Oreochromis niloticus: one gene and its partners. The protein of the gene in region 1 interacts with the protein of each later gene in a pairwise test. Links are inferred from orthologs where the notes say so. Each region holds a gene or a part of one and is shown in the gene's direction. Other genes may lie near its edges.

Evidence for each region. The genes of interacting proteins can lie anywhere in the genome.
Region 2: the proteins of gucd1 (region 1) and cth interact in binary tests that used the Homo sapiens proteins (3 or more experiments, as listed by UniProt). The two-hybrid records come from large-scale screens. The link is inferred for Oreochromis niloticus from reciprocal best matches to the Homo sapiens genes GUCD1 and CTH.
Region 3: the proteins of gucd1 (region 1) and ngly1 interact in binary tests that used the Homo sapiens proteins (3 or more experiments, as listed by UniProt). The two-hybrid records come from large-scale screens. The link is inferred for Oreochromis niloticus from reciprocal best matches to the Homo sapiens genes GUCD1 and NGLY1.

Annotation. Positions count from the first base shown.
Region 1 is NC_031977.2:6,600,510-6,607,845, reverse strand, and holds the start of gucd1 (protein GUCD1), read left to right. Parts: upstream 1-4,279; 5' UTR 4,280-4,789; coding exon 4,790-4,796; intron 4,797-4,879; coding exon 4,880-4,961; intron 4,962-5,143; coding exon 5,144-5,309; intron 5,310-5,407; coding exon 5,408-5,499; intron 5,500-5,590; coding exon 5,591-5,832; intron 5,833-7,336. Other genes in the region: p2rx4b (P2X purinoceptor 4b), read left to right, coding at 1-89, 210-281, 1,034-1,106, 1,195-1,291, 1,376-1,456, 1,566-1,707, 2,588-2,724, 2,810-2,903 and 3 more.
Region 2 is NC_031980.2:36,019,571-36,027,920, forward strand, and holds the start of cth (cystathionine gamma-lyase), read left to right. Parts: upstream 1-5,297; 5' UTR 5,298-5,390; coding exon 5,391-5,576; intron 5,577-6,979; coding exon 6,980-7,061; intron 7,062-7,226; coding exon 7,227-7,322; intron 7,323-7,463; coding exon 7,464-7,573; intron 7,574-7,892; coding exon 7,893-8,027; intron 8,028-8,165; coding exon 8,166-8,223; intron 8,224-8,350. Other genes in the region: ankyrin repeat domain-containing protein 13C, read right to left, coding at 287-689. UniProt on the Homo sapiens protein: Catalyzes the last step in the trans-sulfuration pathway from L-methionine to L-cysteine in a pyridoxal-5'-phosphate (PLP)-dependent manner, which consists on cleaving the L,L-cystathionine molecule into L-cysteine, ammonia and 2-oxobutanoate.
Region 3 is NC_031985.2:35,798,295-35,805,621, forward strand, and holds the start of ngly1 (peptide-N(4)-(N-acetyl-beta-glucosaminyl)asparagine amidase), read left to right. Parts: upstream 1-4,274; 5' UTR 4,275-4,380; coding exon 4,381-4,481; intron 4,482-4,511; exon of another isoform or gene 4,512-5,277; intron 5,278-5,755; coding exon 5,756-5,870; intron 5,871-6,006; coding exon 6,007-6,216; intron 6,217-6,808; coding exon 6,809-6,971; intron 6,972-7,077; coding exon 7,078-7,297; intron 7,298-7,327. Other genes in the region: oxsm (3-oxoacyl-[acyl-carrier-protein] synthase, mitochondrial), read right to left, coding at 2,907-3,901. UniProt on the Homo sapiens protein: Specifically deglycosylates the denatured form of N-linked glycoproteins in the cytoplasm and assists their proteasome-mediated degradation. Cleaves the beta-aspartyl-glucosamine (GlcNAc) of the glycan and the amide side chain of Asn, converting Asn to Asp.

The DNA of each region.
Region 1 (7,336 bases):
CCACGAAAGTGAAAGGTTTCGCTTTCACCAACACATCTGACACGGAGCCTCGTTTTTGGGATGTGGCTGATTACATTATCCCTCCTCAGGTACTGAAACATGCATTTTAGCATTTCTGTCATTTTATATGTGAGAGGGGAAGAACAGCACAACAGGTTTTGGCTTTTTTCATTCCCTGGAAACGTTTTCCCTGCTCTACTTTCTGACAGGGCGATCATTCATTCTTTGTGCTGACGAATATGGTTGTGACCCCAAAACAAGTGCAGTCACGTTGTCCCGAGGTGAGTCACTGCTGTTACAAAACAGATCCTATAACCAGGCCCAGAGCCAAGGGTTGGAAATGTCTTGCCAAACTCACACAACCAGTGGTGAAGACCATTAGAGTGCCAAGTACATGGTCATTGTAAAGTATTAACAGCTTCTTTTTTTTGATTTCTACATTTTTGTGGCTATTGTTTTTCAGTTGGCAGAAATCAAAAATATGATTATAAACCCTTTAAAGTCAAGTGTATCATGTTTTATGTGAGTTTTTGAGACTTCTACACGTCAGTGTGATTTTTTTTTTTTTCCCACGACAAGTAAATTGCACAAAAATACCTGATGCAGGAAATATGGCACAAATTAAAACTCATATAGCCAAATGGATACTTATCTAATTAAAAATTGTTAATTAGACTCAAGAAATTGAGTTAATTAGAAGTTAATTAGAAACTCAAGAAACTCAAGAAACTTCAGGCTTTAAAGGGTTAAGTATTAAATACTTTTTAATGTTTGCATTAACCCTTTAAAGCCTGAAAAAAAGAAACAGTTTCTAGACAATTTTTTAAATTGAGAGCTTCCGACAAAGATTTTTAATTAATTTAAAAATGTAATTAATCAGTTTGTGTCATATTTTCTACATCCAGCATTTAAAAATGTATTTATTTATTTAATTGTTTTGCATATTATTGCTTAAAAATGTTTTGTGAAATTAATTTAGGATTTTTAACTTCACGTTCCCTTGTACACATTAACACTGGAGATTCTCCTGCAGCTTCCAAGCCCATCAACTATTTGTGTGGATGACTGCAACTGTGTCGAGGGACACAGTGATCCCCGGGGCAACGGTAGGCTTTCCTCCCTGATGATACAGCCCCTTTAATATTTGTGGCCTCACGCACCAAAAACTCAGCATGAAAATAATTTTCCACCCAGGTATACAGACGGGACTGTGTGAGAACTACTCCACCACTGCACGGACCTGTGAAGTGCTCTCATGGTGCCCACTTGAAATAGACACTAAGCTGCCTGAGTAAGAGCACATTTACCATGTTAGAATATTTGTTACTAGTTGCAGTGTTGTGGAGGCTTGATGTGTCGTTTCATGTCCCGACAGGCATGCGCTGCTGGCTGCAGCAGAAAACTTCACCGTGTTGATCAAAAACAGCATCACGTACCCAAAGTTCAACTTTCACAGGTCGGTGAACTGCATTTGAATGTAAGAGGGAGATCTGTAGATGCTTAAGCAAACATACAGAGTCACAGTTTTTCCCTATTAAACCGGAGCCTTGTCCTCCTTCCTCCAGAAGAAACATACTGCCTCATGTGAACTCCTCATACCTGAAGAGGTGTGAATTCAGCCGTCTCACAGACCCACACTGTCCCATATTCAGACTCAAGGATATTGTCTCAGAGGCTGGGGAGGATTTTCAAGACATGGCTGTGAAGGTGAATCGAATGATCGTTGTCTTTCTGTACTGGAATTCATTGTTCAAGTTCCTGTATGGTCTTCCTCCAGTATATATGTCTCATAAGCAGGATGTGAGCCAGTACAGCCCTCAGGTTCCCAGGCTCCCGTCTGATAGTCACTCCCACAGTTAGTGTAATGTATGCATTTTTTATGTTCTCTGTGGTCACCCCAGATCACAAGGCAAAAACCTTTTTAGCTTCTGTGCTCTGTGCTGCGATTAAAGTCTGCCGTAGGAGCTGAGAACAGCTGGAAATGCTGAACTCTTAAAGCTATTTTGTTGGCTTTCCATTTAGTGTGGTTGAGCAACATTACATGGTTTATTTTTATGTAGCTGTTTCATCATCATTGTAGGATACATTGTTTTACAATGTTGTCTCTTTAAACTCTGAAAAGCGGCTATAAGTTAACATTTTCATTCAGCATTGCCATATTTGAACTTAATAATTATTGTAAGTCTTACACTGTTTTCAATTATAGTTGGTGTTTTCAACCAAATTTTAGGTCCTTACAGGTACTTATCTATATATATATATTATGATCATGGTTGCCTACCCATCACCTAGCAATGGCCATTTAACCTTTTTTTTTTTTTTTTTTTTTTTTTGCATTTATGCTCCTACAATAAAACGCATTTTACTATTTCAGTTTCAAGGCCAAAAGCACGAGCAGTCATTAAAATACTGTGGCATAGGCGTGTACTAGTTTTATACCATTCTTTGTAATTGTTTTTTCTCCAATCACTACTTTTTGTAGTGACTATCATATTTTAATTGTTGTCTTTAATTACATCTGTACAGCCCTAACCTAATTTTAAAGGTGCTAATTGAATAAACCTGAACTGAGTGATTGGTTTTACAGGGGGGCATCCTTGGTATTCTTATTGACTGGAGCTGCGATTTGGACTGGTGGGCAGGGGAGTGTTTACCTAAATACAGCTTCCGGAGGCTGGACAACAAACACCCTGTCAACAATGTGGCCCCTGGTTACAACTTTAGGTGAAACTATTTTATTTTTTAACAGATGCTTACTGATGAATGTATAAGGCTGAATAAAAGAACTGCTAAAACTTCTGTCTTTTAGATTTGCTAAATACTACAAGACAGCAGATGGAGAGGAAACCAGAACGTTGATCAAAGCTTACGGGATCCGCTTTGACGTCATTGTGTTTGGAACTGTGAGGCCTGAATAAATCTTGAAACAGCAATGATTTTATCAAGAACCTTCCTTGGTTTTACTTTAGTCTTACGGTAGTTTGGGGTTCTTACAGGCAGGAAGATTTTCCATCGTTCCAACCATAGTGAACTTGGGTGCAGCCTTGTCGTTCCTCAGTTTGGTGAGAAGAGAAATGTTCAAACTAGCATCCGTATAAGTGATGAAACACCAGATTTTTTATATTTTGCCTATTTTCCTTCAGGTGCCTGTGGTTGCTGACTGGTTTTTGGTGACTTGCTCGAGGAAACGAGATCTTTACAGCAGACACAAAACAACACATCTCACTGAAGATGCAGACAGTGCATCGGTAAGGGACTTTTCTCCTTCACTTTCACTGATGAACTTAATTAGTACTGACTAAGATGTTAAATGTTGGTCTGTTTGTTTGTGTTTTTCTGTAACACAGGTGTCAATGGGCACCACCTATGGAACCCAGTAGCAGGAGCAACATTTCTCTACAGAGAAATGGGAATCCTCATGAAACGTGACATTAAAACATCATTTGAGTACTTCACTGAAACCATAAAATGTGTAAATAGAAAGAAGGAGGATAAACAGTGATGGAGGAAGAACTCTGGCTTTTATTTAAGTAGCAGCTACAAAACACTCACTAGTAAAAGTATAAATGTGTAATCTTCAAAATATAATTATAATACCAGCAGCAAAGATGGAGATTGAACTATTTCAGAATGAAATATAGCACTGGGCTACTAATTACTGATGCATTAATATGTTCTTTTACAGCTTGCGGAAATTATTTGATTTGATTTATTTGCACTTTTGGGTAGTTTCACCCAAAATAATGCATTATCAGTTACCAGGTAATTGTATTCAGTAATATGAATTGAGTGAAAAACATGTAATTGTGTGAAAATAAATGGGAGTATAGTTACAGAGTATTTGTATAATGCATTAGAACATGGAATCATCATCATTCATATATGCCATAATCTTGGCACAACATGGTGTATTTTATGAGCCAATACTGATTTATAACAGATTGTCTTATATGATTATTTCCCCCTCTCTACGATAGAAAACATTTATATGTATCCAAGATTATTTATTTTTATACTAATCACTCTGATTTTCAGCATAAGTAGCCTAAACTGCTAAGTGCCCAATAATGTCACCAATCATAGCTTCATAGCTTTATTTATATTCTACATCAAAAATTGTGTGTGGTGGTGGGGGAGGTTGTTTTTTGTTTTTTCCTTTTGCTATGAATACATTTTTTAACACTTGAAGACGTTTGAATTTCCCGTCTCCTTCTAATCACATGACTTATAGTGAGAAGTATACATTAAAAAAACATCGTCCGTTTGAAATTGTAGTGAATAGTAGGATTAGTCCTGAAATACTTAAAGTTTGTCTAAAAATATTTCAAATCAATGGTTCAAGTACATAGTACTGAAAGTGCGTCGATAGAGTTTTCATAAGAAGCGTTCAAGTCTCCTCCAGACCACATGGTGGCAGTATAACTTTACTGAAGACGCAACCAAACACAAGAAGCGTCTCAGTACGCGAGTAAACACAGAAGCGGAGGAGCGTTTCGCTTCGAAGTGTCGGCACGGAAAACCGTCCTGAAAATGAGTTTTTGTTGCTGTTTTTCTTGTTAGTTATGTGTGTGCGCCTCGCAGCGGCGTGAGTCACAGAGCTGTGCGCGTTTTATCGGTAACAGAGCGATAAATAGTGCTAGCCTGGACGCTTGTAGTCGGGGAGCTAGTTTTTTTTAACTAGTTAGCATCGATGAGGGCACCCAGCCTCGCCCTCACTGCTGCAAACAAGACTGACCAGCTGGTACTGAGTTAGTTAGCGGGCGGTCTGTGAGAGAAAGAAACCAGCAGAATGACAGGTGAGTGAAACCGTGAATCAGTCTTGTGACAGCGCTAGTGTTTGTTTTGTTCAAGTGTGAAAGTAACTCCTCGGTTTACTCAGATGATGTCCTGCTGGATGTTCCTGTTATCCGGCAGCTGTACCACTGGGACTGTGGCTTAGCCTGCTCCAGGATGGTCCTCAAGTAAGAGCACATCAAGGTTTTTACCTTCAGAAGTCATGTTTTTATTGCACTATGTACTGTATCTGCCATACGGACTGCAGTGCTTCCTGCACTGCCTGCCAGCAGGCTCTTTTCTGAATTGCAAATCAAAGGTGCCTTGACATTGTGTGAGGGATTCACACTCCGGTTGTTTGAATGTGCAGGTACCTCCACCCTGTCAGCGATGATGAGTTTCAGAGGGCGTGCTGGGATCTGAAGCTGACAGAAAGTGTGTGGACTATCGACCTGGCCTACCTCATGTGCCATCTAGGAATCAAACACTGCTTTTGTACACAGACTCTGGGTGTAGATAAGGGCTTTAAAAACCAGGTATGTAGAACAAACTAACAGTGTAATTCTAGCCTGTTTTGAACAGTTTGATAGTTATCTATGATTGTGTCTTGATGATGTTTTGTTGTTGTTTACAGTCCTTTTACAAGAAGCATTTTGATACTGAAGAAAACCGAGTGAATGAGCTCTTCCTTAAAGCGGAGAGCAAAGGTGTGGTGGTGAAGAAATGGTGAGCTTCCTGTTGATTTTAATCTACCCGCCTACTTTTTTCAGTACCTTAAAATAAATATATGACCTCAGTTGTGTGTGCCTTCTCACAGTTCTGTTTCAGTTCAGGAAATCCAGTCTCATCTGGAGCAGGGCCACGTTGCCATAGTGCTGGTCAATGCTGTGGTGTTGACATGTGAACTGTGCTCCCAGCCTGTCAAATACTGCTGCTTCATGCCCGTGGGTCAGAAGTGTTTCTGCAGGAAGCCGGACTATCAGGGTCACTTTGTGGTTGTGTGTGGCTTCAACAGAACCACTGGCTCCATCTTCTACAATAACCCAGCGTATTCTGACCGTGAGTATACTTGTATTTCTACTTCTACTATAACTCTAACTGAAATTAATCTGTGGTAAGTAAGAGAAAGTCTTACTAAATGTGAATCCTCCTTAACCTTACCTGTCATGACACTGCTCGTTGTGTGGAAGTTATTGTAGAAAAGCTGCCAGAGAAGTGGATGGCTCAAGGTTTGCGGGTGATCTTCTAGATTGATCTAGATTTTAATATTTCACACAAATCCATACTGGGTGCACAAATGTGCTCACTGGTGTTTTGAGCACCACAAGTAACTGCTGCCTGATTCCATTCACTTAAAAAGAAAAAATCTCAAAGGCCGGTATCTCCTAAAGTCTTCATGTCACACTGGAATTATCAGGATGGCCATCATCCTGCTGTTGCCTCACAGCAAGAAGGTCCCCCACCCCCACCCGTTTACTGTGTACTTCGCCCTGTTGCAGATGGTCAAGAGACCGATTTGAAAGCAGAAGAAAATAGATGGATGGATGAATAACACTATAGCAAAATCCTCTTAATTTGAGTTCTGTAAGCTGTTCTTTTTAAGGAATCCTCAGAAATAAAATATATATGATAAAATGATAAAATTAAAATAAAACCTACTGTTAGGCTTAGACTAAGAAAGGTTACATTTTTGCACACAGTGATGGAGTCAGTCCTTAAACAGCAGCTGCTCTGCTTTCAGCTTTGGTGTAATGCCACTTTTTGTTGCAGCTGTTTTCAGCCATCATGTGATTCGTGAACGTCAATGTTTCCATTAACATAAACAAACCTTTGGGGGGGGGGGGGGGGGACTGGGGGTATGGTAATACTGGTGTATGAATTATTCAGTTATCAGGAAGAATACCTGTTAGCTCTGAGCACTCTGTTATCTTTGCCTTGCTTGGTTCCATGTCACTGCATGAGCTGAACCCCTCACATGGTGAACGACAGAAATGCAGAAAAAAAAAAAAAGCTAAGTGGGTTTCTTTTTTTAAAAACAGATAAACCTCTAAACGGCGGACTCAATTTGTGGGGCAACTGTGCTGTCTTTTCTTCATCCTCCTTAGTAGTGACAGAGTCAATTCAAGCTGGTAGCACAAGTTTATGCTGCCTGGCTTGATGTTCAGTGCTGTATTTGTGCAGTTTCTGGAGTTAGACATGGTTCATGTTTCACAAGTCATTGTTTTTTCCGTAAGCAAGACTCTGTTGATCAGAGTCTTATTTGTTGTTTCATATAAATGGAGTCGTGCATGAGAAAGGTGTACACTTACTAAAGGTCCACTCTCATATTGCTTCAGCATAGTCAACATAATATATTCAGGCCCAGCACTAATCCAAAGTAATTCTAATGAATCCAGAGGGAGACATGAGGGTGTGGATCAAATTTCATGGTAATCCAGCAGGTGTTGAGACATTATGTATAAGCACCATGGCTGGTGGTAATCACTGTACGGGCACCTGTGAGTTTTATAGCAGTCCATGAACATATAGAGCTAACAGTGGGAAGCAGACCCAGAGTACACTC
Region 2 (8,350 bases), on another chromosome or scaffold:
GAAGAAATTACAGGGTATGACATTAAATTCAATTCAATTCAATTCAATTCAATTCAATTTTATTTATATAGCGCCAAATCACAACAAAAGTCGCCTCAAGGCGCTTTAAACTGTCCTCAATTTGGATATCAGTTATCCGGGCCTTGGCAATAAGAAACCTCGCCTACATCTAATGCTGCCGGAGAATGATGGCCTATTAGCTAAAACTAAGCTCCACTGGACCTTGAAATTGGCAGTTCATTGTGGGCTTTTTAAAGCAGCTGAGATGAGCAGTTGTTAAACTCACCATGGACGTCTTTCTGGGCGATATTCTGCGTCCGTATGAGCGAAGACAGTCGTCGGACATCTCCTTTAAATACACATTCGTGCACCGGAAAGTCCTGCCCAGTACGGATAATGGGGTTTTTGTTGTTGTCATCGATAACATCGGATGTTGACAGTGTGTTGGTGTTAGCATTAATCTGGGACTGTTGGTTCTGCTGCTGCTGTTGCTGTTGCTGTTGTTGTTGTTGTGTGGATGAAGACTTGATTAACTTGTGGTTGCTGAAGATTTTACTCGCTCTGCTCTTGTTGTTCGTCCTGGAGGCTGTAAACGTCCCGGTCGCAGCCTCTTCGTCCGGCTCCAGTAAGTCCTCGTCTTTGCTCGGCCTGTGGTCCTTGCGCAGGGAGCGGATCTTCTCTCCGGTCATTTTCTAAACGGTCGACGCTGACGGAGCAGAGGGTGTCGTCGCTGACGATGACCCTCCGGGCGAACTGATGCGATTCGCCAGTTGGAAGTCTTCGCGCAAACACTGGAAACTGCACAACATGAAAACACTTACTTCTCCCACGGACACGCAAAAACCACAGTTTGCTCGAGGACGAACAAGTAGCACCCCCCTCGTGCCGGTTTCTTATGAAAACAAATAGTCTACTCTCCTCCTACCGCCCCAAACTGTCGACGGCTGCAGTACAACATAAGCGGCTCCAGTTGTACGAACGCTTCGGCTGATATCTTCCGGCTCGTATTATCGCGAGAGTTTGGGAAAGGTTATTACCGGCCACTCACTGAAGCCGCTCCTATTTTATCAAAACACAGCCTACAGTAGTGTAAAATAAACACGTTTTCTATTATTTTACTCACGTATTTGAGTTGAGTCCAAATTTAAGAGCCATATATTTTACATTTTAATCTAAAATTACATCTAATGTAGCTACACGAACACTGAAATCCAACTCCCACACACATCAACTACCCATCAGCTTTGGCCTTGTAACTTAAAGCGTTCAGACTCGCGAGTAACCAAATTCCTCAAAAAAGGAAAAAAAATCACCAAAAAACTACAATTAATTCTCTCCTGCAAAGTCTTTCCTCGCTCCTCTTTCATTTTTTAAAATTACTTTTAATTTAATTTTGCTTTTTCCAGGCTGTTAATTCTGCCGAACTGGAGGTCGCAACTTATTTAAATTCTAAACATATTTTATTTTTATTATGTACTGTGCATGAAGGCACTGCATTCAAAAATATATCACCAAGGGAGTTACACTTTCTATGATTTTTTAAAACTTACATGACACATGGGAAACAGCCAGCAACCCCCCTTGCAGCTAACATAGTGTTTTCTCGTTTATCCCAACAATAATTAAATATATTTTTTATGTATATAGTAAAAACTGTCTGCTCATAGGGGCTTGTCTTGTTTTATATTTTCATAAAAGCTGTGTGTACAGTACAGTACTTACCACCTCTTTATGCTAAATCACTTTAAAATATTAGTCTGCTCTCTTGTTCTCTTTTGTTTTTACAGAAAACAAAAACTTGGATGAAGGACAAAACTTTGTAAAGTAATAATTTAACGCTGTGGAACTGCTATTTTTATTTAACACTGCACTGTTTGTTTGTAGAGTTACAAGAGTTACAGGCATGCTTGTTATTCATAAAAAGGAGCCTATTGCACTCATTATTGGATTTTAAATTTTTATACTGCATTACTGTGTCTTCTGCATTTTACTAAGGTCTTTTACCTGTGTGTAATCTGCCAACGTGATCTGCAATATATACTGAATAATAAATTCAACATAAAATATTATTTATTCAGTAAAATGTTAAGGTACTTTAATTTTTTAAAGGTCAGAATCATACTACAAAATACATCAATGTACATTGATGACAATAAAAGTTCTACATTTTAATGACCACATAGTACATCAGCTGAATGTTTTTATATGGAAGTGTTAATTTCAGCCACAGCCCTCAGCTTTAAAACTTTAACAGTTTAGTGCTGGAGATGGAAATCTTACATGTAGCATACTCTCTGTGGATCATCTGCATTGAATAGCTCAAATAAATAACCAGGAATACCAACTTTCAAATGAATCTATAGTGGAAGATCTATACTAAGAAGAACAGAAATAAACATGTACTTAAAATTGCACCCAGATACCTCAGTGAATGCATTTCGTTATCACCACTGTAAGTAATTATTTTATCATCTATTTCATGTTATTATTTAGAATGAAGTGTATGGCCAAAAGCCTGAATGAACAATGAACATCAATTCTTTATGACAATGATGGGTGCTTCAGGAAAAAAGAAAGGTATTTAAAATACAAGAAATATGACAGATTCCATTTCATAAATAGTCATAAATTTATTTAGAAAAAAGCAAAACAAAACACGACGGTCTCTAAGCCCTTATTTACAGAATTTTTGTTCAAACTGTAGTGCGTACTTTGCCAAAAAAAAGGCCATAGCAGCAGCAGCTTGATTTGTTTGGATACATGCAAAAGCATGAAATGTCCACAGTTTCCTAAAACAAAGGTGATATCTTGTTTACAGTAGTCACAGTCACGTGAAGTTTTCATGTGACTGTGCATTCAAACTAAATACACCCTTTCTGCTTCCACAGGAATTATGCGAGTAAGTAGCAGCCAGATACTAATCAAATGGACTTGATTTACTGATTATCTGGAAGTGTAAAAGCAGAAGTTTTCACAGTTTGTGTTAAAACGGGGCAATCGTGGCTTAAGAGTTGGGAGTTCGCCTTGTAATCGCAAGGTTGCAGGTTCGAGCCCCGGCTCGGACAGTCTCGGTCGTTGTGTCCTTGGGCAAGACACTTCACCCGTTGCCTACTGGTGGTGGTCAGAGGGCCCGGTGGCGCCAGTGTCCGGCAGCCTCGCCTCTGTCAGTGCGCCCCAGGGTGGCTGTGGCTACAACGTAGCTTGCCATCACCAGTGTGTGAATGGGTGAATGACTGGATATGTAAAGCACTTTGGGGTCCTTAGGGACTAGAAAAGCGCTATATAAATACAGGCCATTTACCAAAACAATGCAACAGTCTTTCCAAGAGTGGATTCCCAGTTCAGACCGTGCAATGCTCAGAGAAACTGCAAAAAGCCCAAGACCTACTCTTCAGATTCTGCAGACTTCGGTTAACAAATTCAATGTTTAAGTTCATGACAGTACAATTAGAAGAAGACTGAACAAGTATAACTCGTTTGGAAGTATTAACTTATGAATAAGAACTTCAGCACTCACAATTTCATGTATAAAATCTTTAATATTACTAGACAATAAGAAAAAAATAAATGCATTTTAGCACAAGGCTTTCCTCAGCAGTTCTAATGCACATGCGCAGCCATCCACAAAACACTACCGGGACCTAATCCCTAATAGGCACAGGTGGTAACAATTAATAGTTTGTCAGCATGCAACACTGGCAGTGCACTCCAACCACAGACCTAAATCATTGAAACGTGTACAAAACAACACGCTCCATTAACACTGTCTGAAACACACAGCTCCCATTAAATGGTTTTTTGGGGTTGCAGTTGAGCCTGTTGGTTTTCTAATTTGCAAAGGCTGCCAGGAGAAAGCCTCTTCTCTGTAAAAAGGTCATGGCAGCACAGCTTAGGCATTTAAATAAACCACAAAACTTTTTGAACAATGTCCTTTGGACACACGACACCAAAGTGGAGATGTTATAATTTAATAATGCACACACAAGCATATCAGGACAAACACCTCATACCAACAATGGCAGAGGGGTGATGAATTGGACTTATTTTCACCTGGACATCACCTTCATGGGTACCTTGCATTCATCGCATCGACCATGAACTTCTCTGTAAACCAAAGTATTTTAGAGTCAAATACGAGTCCAGCTTGATCCCAAGCACAGCAGTAAATCTACAGCCGAATAGCTGGAAAAGAAAAGAATCAAGGTGGTTCAAGGGCCCAAAGTTGACTAAATACTGTATCAGGAACTTAAGAAAACTGTGCACAAACAAGTGCACACAGAACTCAATGAAGTGAAGCAACGCTGTAAAGAGGAGTGGAACAAAATTCCTCCACAACAATGTGAGAGACTGATAAAGTCACACGGAAAACGATTACTTCAAGTTACTGCTGCAAAAGGTGCTTCTTTAAGCTACTAAATCACAGACTGCACAGAGTCCTCTGTTTTTCCACAGATCGTTCCATACCAGAGCACACCCACTGTCTACGTGCTAAGTCATTGCCATACATAAAAGAATTAATGAAAAACAACAACAAATACTTAAATCTGCATCAAAAACACCTCTATCGTGTTACCACTGTCTCACTGTCACCAAAATGTTGTGACTACACCAAAAAAGATAGTTCTGATAGAAAGATTACATTTGTTGTTTTCATGAAAGAAAAAAGCAAATAGCCAGAAATTTTCCTATATTTATTTGATGTTGTTTCCACTTTGAGACCACACTAACTCCACGCGATTGTGTGAATTTGCTCAACAAACTGCACACAATAAAGCAAAGCGGACTGTTCTCGTTCAGAAGTCATTACAGAGCACTTCCTCCCCCTGTGGTTCACCCCTGGAAACACAGCTTCAGATACAAAAATGTTTTTAAAGAGGAAAAGAAAATAGCGCTAATAAAAATATGATTGGATAAAAAAAATGCACCAGATTCTGTGAATTGTGCCACCAACACAAGAACTTTTATTGCGGTTGCTGAAAAATCGAGTATCCCCCCCCAAGTCTGTGTTATTGTAAAGTGACTCTGTTGCTTTTATAAATCACTGTCTCTGGGTAAATATCTGAATCCTAAACCCAGAAGGAAACAACGTGCAGTAGTACATTCGTGTTAAAAAGTAGCCACCGTGTTGGAAAAAGAGGCGCGGACCCTGACTTAAAAAGCAGGAAACATTGCATCACGACGAACAGCGTAAACAACGTGCATGGCCACGTGGCCTGGACGCCCACTAACCCCCAGCAAATCAGCGCCACTCCGCGGTTTGTGTCGAGCGCTGATTGGCTCCGAGCGACAAGCGCAGCGCACGGCTCCATTAAATGTCTTTTACCATTACCGGGCACGGGTAATGCCTACTCATCTTCAGCCCGCTGTGGTCATTTTTGGAGCGCACTGCCATGAGTAACACGAACAAAAAAGAAGAACAAAGCGATTTGTTCGCCGGTTTCCACACGGCTTATAAATCCTTTGCAACAGATGCCATCCACGTCGGTCAGGAGCCGGAGCAATGGAAATCTATGGCTGTAGTACCGCCGATTTCCCTTTCTACCACGTTCAAGCAGCACTCTCCAGGAAAGCACGCTGTAAGTACCCAGTTACTTTAGGCCAGGTTAGGATCAGACTCGTTGCAGTGTTAGGGACGATATGAAGCCCGATGGTTTCTAAATGTTTGTATATTTTTAGGTTATTCTTATTCTTATTATACTATTATTATGTTTTAGCTCTGTATGGAGGCGTGTCTTGTATTATTTTAAGAATGCCTCTTTAGGTAAGTAAAGTTAACGTAAAATCTGTGATTTCAAGTGTTTTTAACCCACTTCATGTGACTGACTGCGCACTCTGTTAAATAAGAAACTACCCTCAGTCAAAATATGAAGCTCGACTTGTATTGTAATTCCTTCCTGCGTGTGATAACCAGCCCATGGCCATCCATTACTGAGAGTCTAGACTAGAATCCGCCTGTGTTAGATAAATAATGTTTTGTTTCCGCTCTAACATCATTATCTCCTTTGTTTCAGATTGTTAAAGTCGTTTTTTCCTTCTCATTGCTTCTGGCATTGATTGGCTAACAGATGACAGATTTCTAGCACTACACTGACAAAAAGAGGCAGGACATTACACAGGAACGAAATTCTCGAGGGCAGAGGTCACTAGTGTCAGTTTTCATTGCTTAATGTTTCACAGTTGTAAGACTCCTCATATGTAATGCGTTACCAGTTAAACATTTGTTTTTAGAGTTTTTGCACTCAGGTCTAACATCTGGTTATTTCCTAATCAGCTCATTTCTCCGATTTGAACCAGTAAATGATCAATGGAATCTAAACATAAACGTGCAGTAGGTGGGAGCAGGGCGTGATATGGAAACGATGGCTTTCTTCACACAAACCACTTAAACGCTTTGTTTAAAGCATTCGTTTGATTTCACAGGGAATTAATTATCCCAACATGTCCTTTTAATTATGTGTTTTGGAAATTACAAAGCACAAAGACACAGCTTCTATGATTTTAAAATCATCATAATCATCATTACAAAGACTTTGGTTTTCTTAATTAGCCCCACATCACCTCCATTAGAAGTGGTAATTTTTTTTCTCTCCAAATATTAAAAAACTTATTTTTTTCATTTCATTTACATCTTTCTGATCGTAGCAAAGCAAGCAGTGTTTTTCAAAATCAAGGAAAAAGAAGGAAAAACCCGACTATGTTTTAGACAAAAAGGGTGTAGGCAGAAGCAACAGCTTGTATGTACCTGCACCATATATATAATCCAACCACAAAGTATTTTATAATAACATTAATAATAATAAGTCAAATATCTATATCTGTGGGGTTTTTTTTTTAATACCTAAACTTAACAAAAGTGCCACATACCAAGTCATCACTGACCACTAAATAACTGCATCCCCTTACTGTCTGAACAGGTGCACGCAAGTATTATAAATGTTGACCGTGGTGATGGAAATGTAAAAACCTTGTGTTGATGTAGGGCTTCGAGTATAGCCGGAGTGGAAATCCTACCAGAAACTGCCTTGAAAAAGCCGTCGCTGCACTGGACGGAGCAAAGTACTGTACGTCAGCCAATCATATTTCGCAGCAGTGAATTTAAACAGCATGTCATCATTTTACTTAATGTTTAATGCTTCAAAAATGACAGTCTTCCAATTTTAGTCTTCTCTGACATGATGATGAAAATAATTCCTGCTCTGACAACTTCTCACACCTTTTCCCTGCAGGCCTTGCTCTCGCTTCAGGACTAGCGGCCACAGTGACGATCACTCACATGCTCAAGGCAGGCGATGGAATCGTCAGCATGGATGACGTGTATGGAGGTGAGAAACCACTTTGCAACTTGGCCAAATGTGTAAAACAAACTCGTTGAGCTATGAGACGTTACCTTGTTTCCTAGATTACTTATTTATGATGTGGTTTAGTGATATTAACAGCGATTTTTTTATTTTTTTAATCACAAGGCACAAACCGCTACTTTCAAAGAATCGCAGCTGAAGTCGGCCTGGATGTGTCTTTTGCTGACTGCACAAAACCCCAATTGCTCAAGGCTGCCTTGAAGCCAAATACTAAGGTATGTCAAAGCAAAAATTACATTTCAGAAGATTTCAGAACATGTGTTGTTTGTTTTGTTGTGTTTGGGCGCACCTTTTAGGAGACTTTTCCATTTTATCCGCAAAATAAACACATGCTGTTGTACTAGTGTCTGGTTTAACTTGTATGTTGCATAATAGGGCGTGTCTTTTTTGCTTTAAGCTAACTGAAACGGTCATTGTGAATCAGCAGTTCAAGTGATTGGATGATTTTTCTTTTTCTTCTGGAAGTTACCCCCATCCCTCCGCCCCCATGTTTGGTTTGACTTATACAGTAAAATCATCTCTTTGCTTACGTAGCTGGTGTGGATTGAAACACCCACCAACCCCATGATGAAGGTGGTGGACATCAAGGCCTGCTCCGACTTGGTCCATGAGCACAACAAAGACATAGTGGTGGTCGTGGACAACACCTTCATGTCGGCGTATTTCCAGGTGAAACTTGACCCACGGTGCATTTTGTGCGCTGTTGATTATGTAACAACAGTTCGATAACGTTCTGCAATCAAATTCCAGTTCATGCTGGAATAATTCAGGAAATGATTTACTCTTGTTTCTCTTGTGCACCTTTAGCGCCCCTTGGCTTTGGGAGCTGATATCTGCATGTACTCAGCCACCAAATACATGAACGGTAGGTCCGATTTTACTAACCTAACATTTGCATTAGAAGTCGATGCAAACATTTTGTGATCTTAGTCATCTAGAATCTGTTGCACGCTAGAATGGATTAATTACTTTAGTTCTAAAATGTCTCCAAA
Region 3 (7,327 bases), on another chromosome or scaffold:
AGATTCTTATTGCTCCATTTAAACAAAGACATGTGAGTCAAGAAATGAATGTGTACATGTCAGCGCAGATTTCAAGTCATTTTTTTCAGGATGGCGTCATATAGACTTCTCTGTAAAAAGAAACACCCAATATACCCATAACAACTGACTGAAACTGTAACCAGTATAAAAAGGATTTGGTTCTTTTTATATTCAAATTGTGACAGAAGCCTTAGTGCTGCTTTGCCCCCCCAGCAGCCCAAGCAAGTGTTAGTTGATAACTTGGCTCCCTGTTGTATCCATATAAAGTGTCTTCTGGCTTCATGGTATAGGCCAGATTTCTAATGTTCAAGTTATAAAATGTGAGGTCCAAAACTAACAGATGATGTTATGATGACTACATCCAAGTTTTGTACTGTATGGTTTACATCAGTATCTGCTACAATGAAAGGATTGACACTTTTAAAATATGTGCCAGCGTATTGACCTTAGTTTGTCACAAATTGCCTTTGTCTGAATACTTCCAGGAAATAAACAGCCTGGACATAATATCATTAAGACAGAGAAGCTGTGCTAAGGGAACAGAATCACTCAACAACCCCGAACATCTGGTAGAAAAATCAATTAACATAAAGAAAAGAGAGACCAGTCCAGGCTTGTTGGTGTTTTTAAAGCATCACAGGCATTTAAAGATTTTTTATAGGATGACAAGTAAATCTTTACTCATCTTCAACATTTCAACCTGTTAAAACCCCCTTACCACCAAGCACAAAGCTACAAGCTTCCTGTATAACTAATTACGCCAGCAAAATAACATGTTCACTGGCTCTCACCCAGGCGGTACCCTTCTCCTGCCCCTTCATCCATCCTTTAAGATACTGCTACCAGGTGGATGCAACAAAATGTCAGTAGTCTAAAAATGGAAAATATAAAGATAATTATAAATTGTAACTGATGTGAAAATCATCTAATCTTATACTCGTGTGTTTGCGACTAACATAAAAAAGCAGCACACACAATTTGAATATGAGAAATAACAGCACATTAGTGTTGGTGCCTTGCATGTATCAGCATACAACACAGCTGATCAATGATGTTTTAAACTCGAGGTTGTTTCCAGAATAATATTTTCAAAATCAACTGAAAAATGATATTTTAAAACTCTTTCTCAAACACGGGTACTTTAACTTGGTAATGGTAACAAGGTATATATACGATTACATAGCAGCCTATATTCATCTCGTTCACTACCATAGCCTACCTACAATTAGTGTAGTCCAAAGACGTGTGTCAATGTAATTTGTGACTCTAATATGGCTGAGATGAGAGAGAGTTAGATAAAGTGTTTAAATTGTACAGAATAGAACAGTGTGCTGTATGAATGTAAAATAACGTGTCCGTTATCCTGTCTTCCTTCTCTCACTCCAACCGGTCGCAGCAGATGGCCCCGCCCATACATGCCAACCCTCCCGATTTTTCCAGGAGAATCACGAATTTCGGTGCCCCTCCCGAAAATCTCCCGGAGCCGCCACTCTCCCAAATTTCTCCTGATTTTCAGGTCGAAAATCAGGATATCCCAGAATTCATAGCGCGGCCCAGCCAATTCCAGTTTCCAACAATGGCGGCAGCTACTTAGTTTTAATATTACTCTTATTGCTCTTTCTGAGTCGCAAAATAAACTTTTAACATATTTTCAGGCGAGAATGTAGCTGTGTAAACTTCAAATATCTGAGCCAGCGAGAACAGCGAACTCCCGGCACATCGTTTTCAACCCCTCCGCAGTCTTTCGCTACTCAGGTTAAACATGATATAAAAGTCACTTGGATAACTTAAAAATGTTATTATTTGGCTTTTTGCAGTGTTTTATTTTTTCCTGAGTAAATCAGTTTGGCTGAGATTAAAGTTATTAGATTAGATTTAACTTCATTAATCCCTCGGGAGGGTTCCTCCGGGGGTTTCACACAGCTGAATAAACGTCAAACAGAAAACTGATTAAATAGTAGTGTCAGATGGTCGAGAATTTACACCAGTGTCCGGTTATATTTCAGATAGCACCCCCCCCCCAAAAAAGCCCTTTTGAATGTCTCCCTAATTCTGAGGTCTCAACGTTGGCAAGTATGGCCCCGCCCCTCACTGAGCCTGGTTCTGACGGAGGTTTCTTCCTGTTAAAAGGGAGTTTTTCCTTCCCACTGTTGCCAAAGTGCTTGCTCATAGGGGGTCATATTGGGTTGGGTTTTTCTCTGTATGTATTATTGCAGGGTCTACCTTACAATATAAAGCGCCTTCAGGCGGCTGTTGTTGTGATTTGGCGCTGTATAAATAAAATTGGATTAAATTGATTTTTAAAAAATGTGGCTTGAACTCTGACATATAGTCTAATGTGCACTCATTTTCTTCCACTTATCCAACCCACATAGAGATAGACAACCATACACATTCACACATCGGTGAATTTAGATTTACCAATTGACCTAACCCCATGCATGTCTTCAGACTATGGGAGTAAGCTGGAGTATCTGGAGAGAACACGTGGAGACACAGGGAAAACCTGCAAACTCCACACAGAAATGTCCTAGGCAGAATTAGAAACCTTCTTGTTGTGAGGCAACAGTACTAACCACCACAACACCTCCCACCCGTTCAGTAAGACTACAAAGGTTACATTGAACTGCATGGTTGATATGTACCTGTTGCATCCCATCCATTTTTTTGTCCTTCTATCTGGGATCCAGTTTTTTAAATTCACAGTTTCATAAACACCAATTATGAAACTTTGGGCATATATTATGGCATCAAGTAATTATATTTGTTCTTACCCTACTTTACTGATTATCAGTATATTTGAAAAATATATAAATACTAATATGAGCAAAAAACCCCAAACAATTAACAGTATCATCAAGTGAGAAAACCTTGAAATGAGTCACCTGAATGCCCCATCACCATCCACAGTAGGAGCAGTTATGTGAGTCGCGTCCCCTGAGAGCCCATAACCCAAGACCTCTGCGTAGATCCGGGCTCCTCTACTCACTGCATGGTTCAGATCCTCCAGCAGGAGCACAGCTGCCCCCTCTCCCATCACAAAACCTTCTCTTTCTGGATGAAAAGGCCTTGATGCCAGTGTAGGGTTGTTATTCCATTTGGTTGCGAGGGCACGGGCCCTAGCAAAGCCAGCTAAAGAAAGTGGCCCCACACAGGATTCTGTACCCCCTGCAACCATAGCAACTGCATCCCCGTGAGCGATGAACCTGGCTGCATCACCTACGGCATGTGCACCTGTGGTGCAAGCTGTGGACACGGCATGATTGGGACCCTTTAGTTTGTGTTTGATGCTTATGTGTCCAGCAGCCATGTTGACAAGGATGCGTGGCACAAAGAATGGACTCACTTTGTTGTACCCCTTCTCTTGGAAGAGGGAGGAGGTACGAGCGATTTCGTCCAGCGACACCATGCCCATCCCAACAGCCACCCCTGTGCTGAGCTGCTCCTCCGGGCTTTTGGGACACCAGCCTGCATCCTCCAGGGCCAGCTGAGTAGCTCCAAGGGCCATTACGGTTGCTGATGACATGCTACTGATCTCCTTACGAGAAGCAAATGTTTCCTCTTCAAACTGACCCTCCTTGGTTCCTCTGGGTACCAGAGCTGCCACTCTACAGGGGAGAGTCCTGTACTCTTCTGAGTCCAGGGGAACTACCCCACTCTGACCTTTGATCAGACGGTCCCAGGACAGAGCAGTGCCCGTGCCTAGAGGACAAACTAACCCTATTCCTGTGATAACAACCCTCCTTCTTTGTTGCCGTCCAGAGCTGTGGTGCCTAGACTCCTGATTCGGACAAACACCGGCATTCTTGTGCAGAAGATTCCTTATGTTCTGTGGTCTCAACCGTAGTTTATTCCAACAAAACAGCGTAAAAACAGACATCCTGCTGTCTGTGTAAGCTTTGACAGCTTGAGGCTTATTGGATTGGAGTTTTTACTGTAAATATCAGAGGAAAAACGAAATTTAGATAAAATTATATAAATTACCGACTTACATAAACTAATAACTTACAGAACAGACCAGACTAGAGTTAGCGGTTATTTATGATGTCCGTGTCCATGCCTTCCTTGTGTTTGTCTTCAGCTGTATTTAGGTAGTATTAGTAAAGGCCAGATCCATTTAAATGGCCAACAAAAATAAACTAACTCAATACCACAGGAAGAAAACATATAAAAGCGTTTAATTATGTATAATTACGGCACAAATATTCAAACACAATTTTTAAGTCCTTCAGAAGAATCAAGCATTTATTCAGGCTCTGATGGGGCAGCTTCCTTTAGGACCCTAAAGTAGCTACTTAGCGTTAGCTGTTGCATTGAAAACTTACAGGACTTTTACATTTTTTTACAAGAAATATAAAGATGGCTGTTTCACCAGCGGTCACAACATTGTGTGAGAATCCAAATGAAGTCTTCTTAGATGTCACGAAGTTGTTACTTACATACGCGGACAACATTATAAGGTAAGGTAACGAAACGCTAGGAAAGCTTACCCAGCTGCAGTCAAGCCTCGGTGTTTTGTGCGCTTGTAGCTGTTAAAAAATGCCCTTTAGCTTTTATGTCACTCACCGACTCCTAGAAAATCATGGCATAACTGTTGAAATGGGTTTAAATGACTTAACAGAAAACAGTTTTTGGTTATGTAAAATACATTTATATATTTACACGTTTATTAAGCGATTTATTGCTACAAGGACAGTAACGGTTAAGGAACGCTAAATATGTCAGTGCATGTGTCAATAAAGGAGAATGCTATTCTTCTCTTAATGTCCACAGAAGTATGTGTCATAACCATAGACATCTTTGGTTTGCACGTGGGTCATTTAATCTGAAAATCATGTTTTGGGGGTTTTGTTTGTTTGTTCGTTTTATTTTTCTGCTTGACCATCTGCTCATGGCTAACCAACCAGAGATATAGTGGTGGTGGACAAGAAAAGGAAGACAGCTGTAATGATAGATGTAGGTATACCAAGTGATAGCAACGTCAGGAAGAAGGTACACGAGAAACCCGCCCCCACACAAAGTGGCCTCTCTTATTGTAAAAGTGAAATCAGGATCTGTAAATTGAGACGGATCAAAACATGTCTGAGTTTTGGCTTCTCAAAATATGAACTGCCCCATGTTGAGCACACTAAAAACAACTTACCATTGCGAAAGACAACGAATAACAGTTTTTGAATGGTATATTTAAATGCCTATTACTGTTTTGTTTTTGTTGTACAACACGTCACAACTGTCACTGTATCGTGAAATTTAAATGAATGAAAATAAAACTTTCTAGTTTTTGTGACTATGAATTTGAGTTTTTTTAAATAAGCATTCTTCATGTTTTGTTTTGCGTTATTGTAAAGTACAACTATGTAGCCTTCTGAAATATCTGTAATAGTTTCTGAGATGTTCATGTTCAAACGTTCCTTCAGATATCTGGAAAATTACTTTTATATATGAAGCTAAAACTTTTATAGTGATCAGTGTACATGTGTAAACTTGGAACCATGAACTTTTTAGCCAAATTGGCAATTAGTGAAGCAGAAGGCCCACGATAATTTGAGATGAACTGATCCATATATGTTGTCTGCTTAGCTGTGATGACACTTGTAGAAAAACAGTGGATTCAAAGCACATTATATCTGTTGTCAGATACTAAACAACTTAAATGATAACACTGTAAATGTGCGATTGGTCAGTATCAGTCAGTATTCCTCAGATGATTACTATTATATGTCATCTCTAACAGGTATCCCAATGAAGAGAAATACAGATCAATACGCATTGGGAATCCAACTTTCTCCACAAAACTGTTGCCTGTCAAAGGTGCTGTAGAGTGTCTCTTTGAGATGGGATTTGAGGAGGTAATTTATTCATTTCTACTGTACCAGATGGCTTCTATTATAGAGGCAAGCTCGTATTTTTGCTGCGTAGAACTTGCCTAGAAATCCTTTGGACATTTCTCGCTTGCTTAACTGTGAGTAAACTACCTCTTGCCAGGCTGAGACTCACTTAGTCTTCCCCAAGTCTGCATCAGTGGAAAAGCTGAAGCTCATCAGGGAATCTATTGCCACAGAAAGGGATCAGAGGCTACGTGAGGGATGTCCTGTCCAACCAGCTCCTGCTGCAGCTTCAGCCTCAGCAGCAACAAGCTCTAGTGCTGCGTCTAACCTATCTGCAGCGGCTCCAGCACAGCAGCCACCGTCCGTGGTAAATAAAGACACTCTCATTGATGAATCAAAGGGTAGAGAAACCCTGATTAAAGTGGGTCATGCCAACTCTATCCTGTGTTTACAGAGCATAGAGCCCTCCTTGGACAGAGAATGTAACACAGAAATTAGCCATTTGGAACTTTAGCTGGTAACTGCATTGTGGATTTTCATCCATGGATATTGGACAGCTGACCAAGCCATCTGGCATTCCAGGGCTGGGAGATCTTACAATGATTTAGCTGAAGTAATGTGATCCAGTTATTAATTATGGATAACAAGACTCACTCTATAAGCCAAAAACACAAAGGATCTTCTTTTTGTTATTTTTATTTTGAAAGGATCTTCTGTTTTCTGATCTGTAGAGAGGATGTTTTCTCTACAACGTGGACAGAGAACTGAAAAAATAAAGCAGTGTGACTTTATAGGAGTTATGCTTTCAAGTTATAGGACATCATAGTTTCAGTAGTTAATGAGGAAATTATTAATAGCACTATTTAAGTTTCCACCAAATGCCTGTACAACGCTTGAACAACATTCACTTCCTTGAATGACACATTGGAGACCTGTCTGTTTATTTGCCTCTGTGTCAGGAGAGCAGCATGAGCTTCTTTGTGACTCTTCAAACAAACTTCCAACATGTGCTGCTTTATGAAAACCCTGAGCTGCAACAGAAAGCCCGGAGTTTGATCCCTCACCAGGAGCTGTACTCTGCTGCTCAACAAAAGCTGAAGGAGGCTAATGAGTCTGACCCAAGTAAGAGAATTTCACCCACAGAAAACTTGGATTTGTAACGTGCGTGCGTGCGTGTGTGCGTGCGTGTGTGTGTGGTGAAATTTTTGACTTGCTGTCCTGTTTTTAGAATGTAAAATTGGAATAGAAGACTTCTTGGTGCTGGAATTGCTCAGGTGGTTCAAAAATGACTTCTTCACCTGGGTGGACTGTTTGCCCTGCCATCTCTGTGGAGGACAGACTCAGAACGCTCCCTCCCTCAGTCCTAGCACCGATGACCTCCACTGGGGAGCCCAGCGAGTGGAAAACCACTATTGTCAGAGCTGCCAGGTTTCCACCAGATTCCCCAGGTGAGTGTAGGTTTATATCTTTGTATTTGG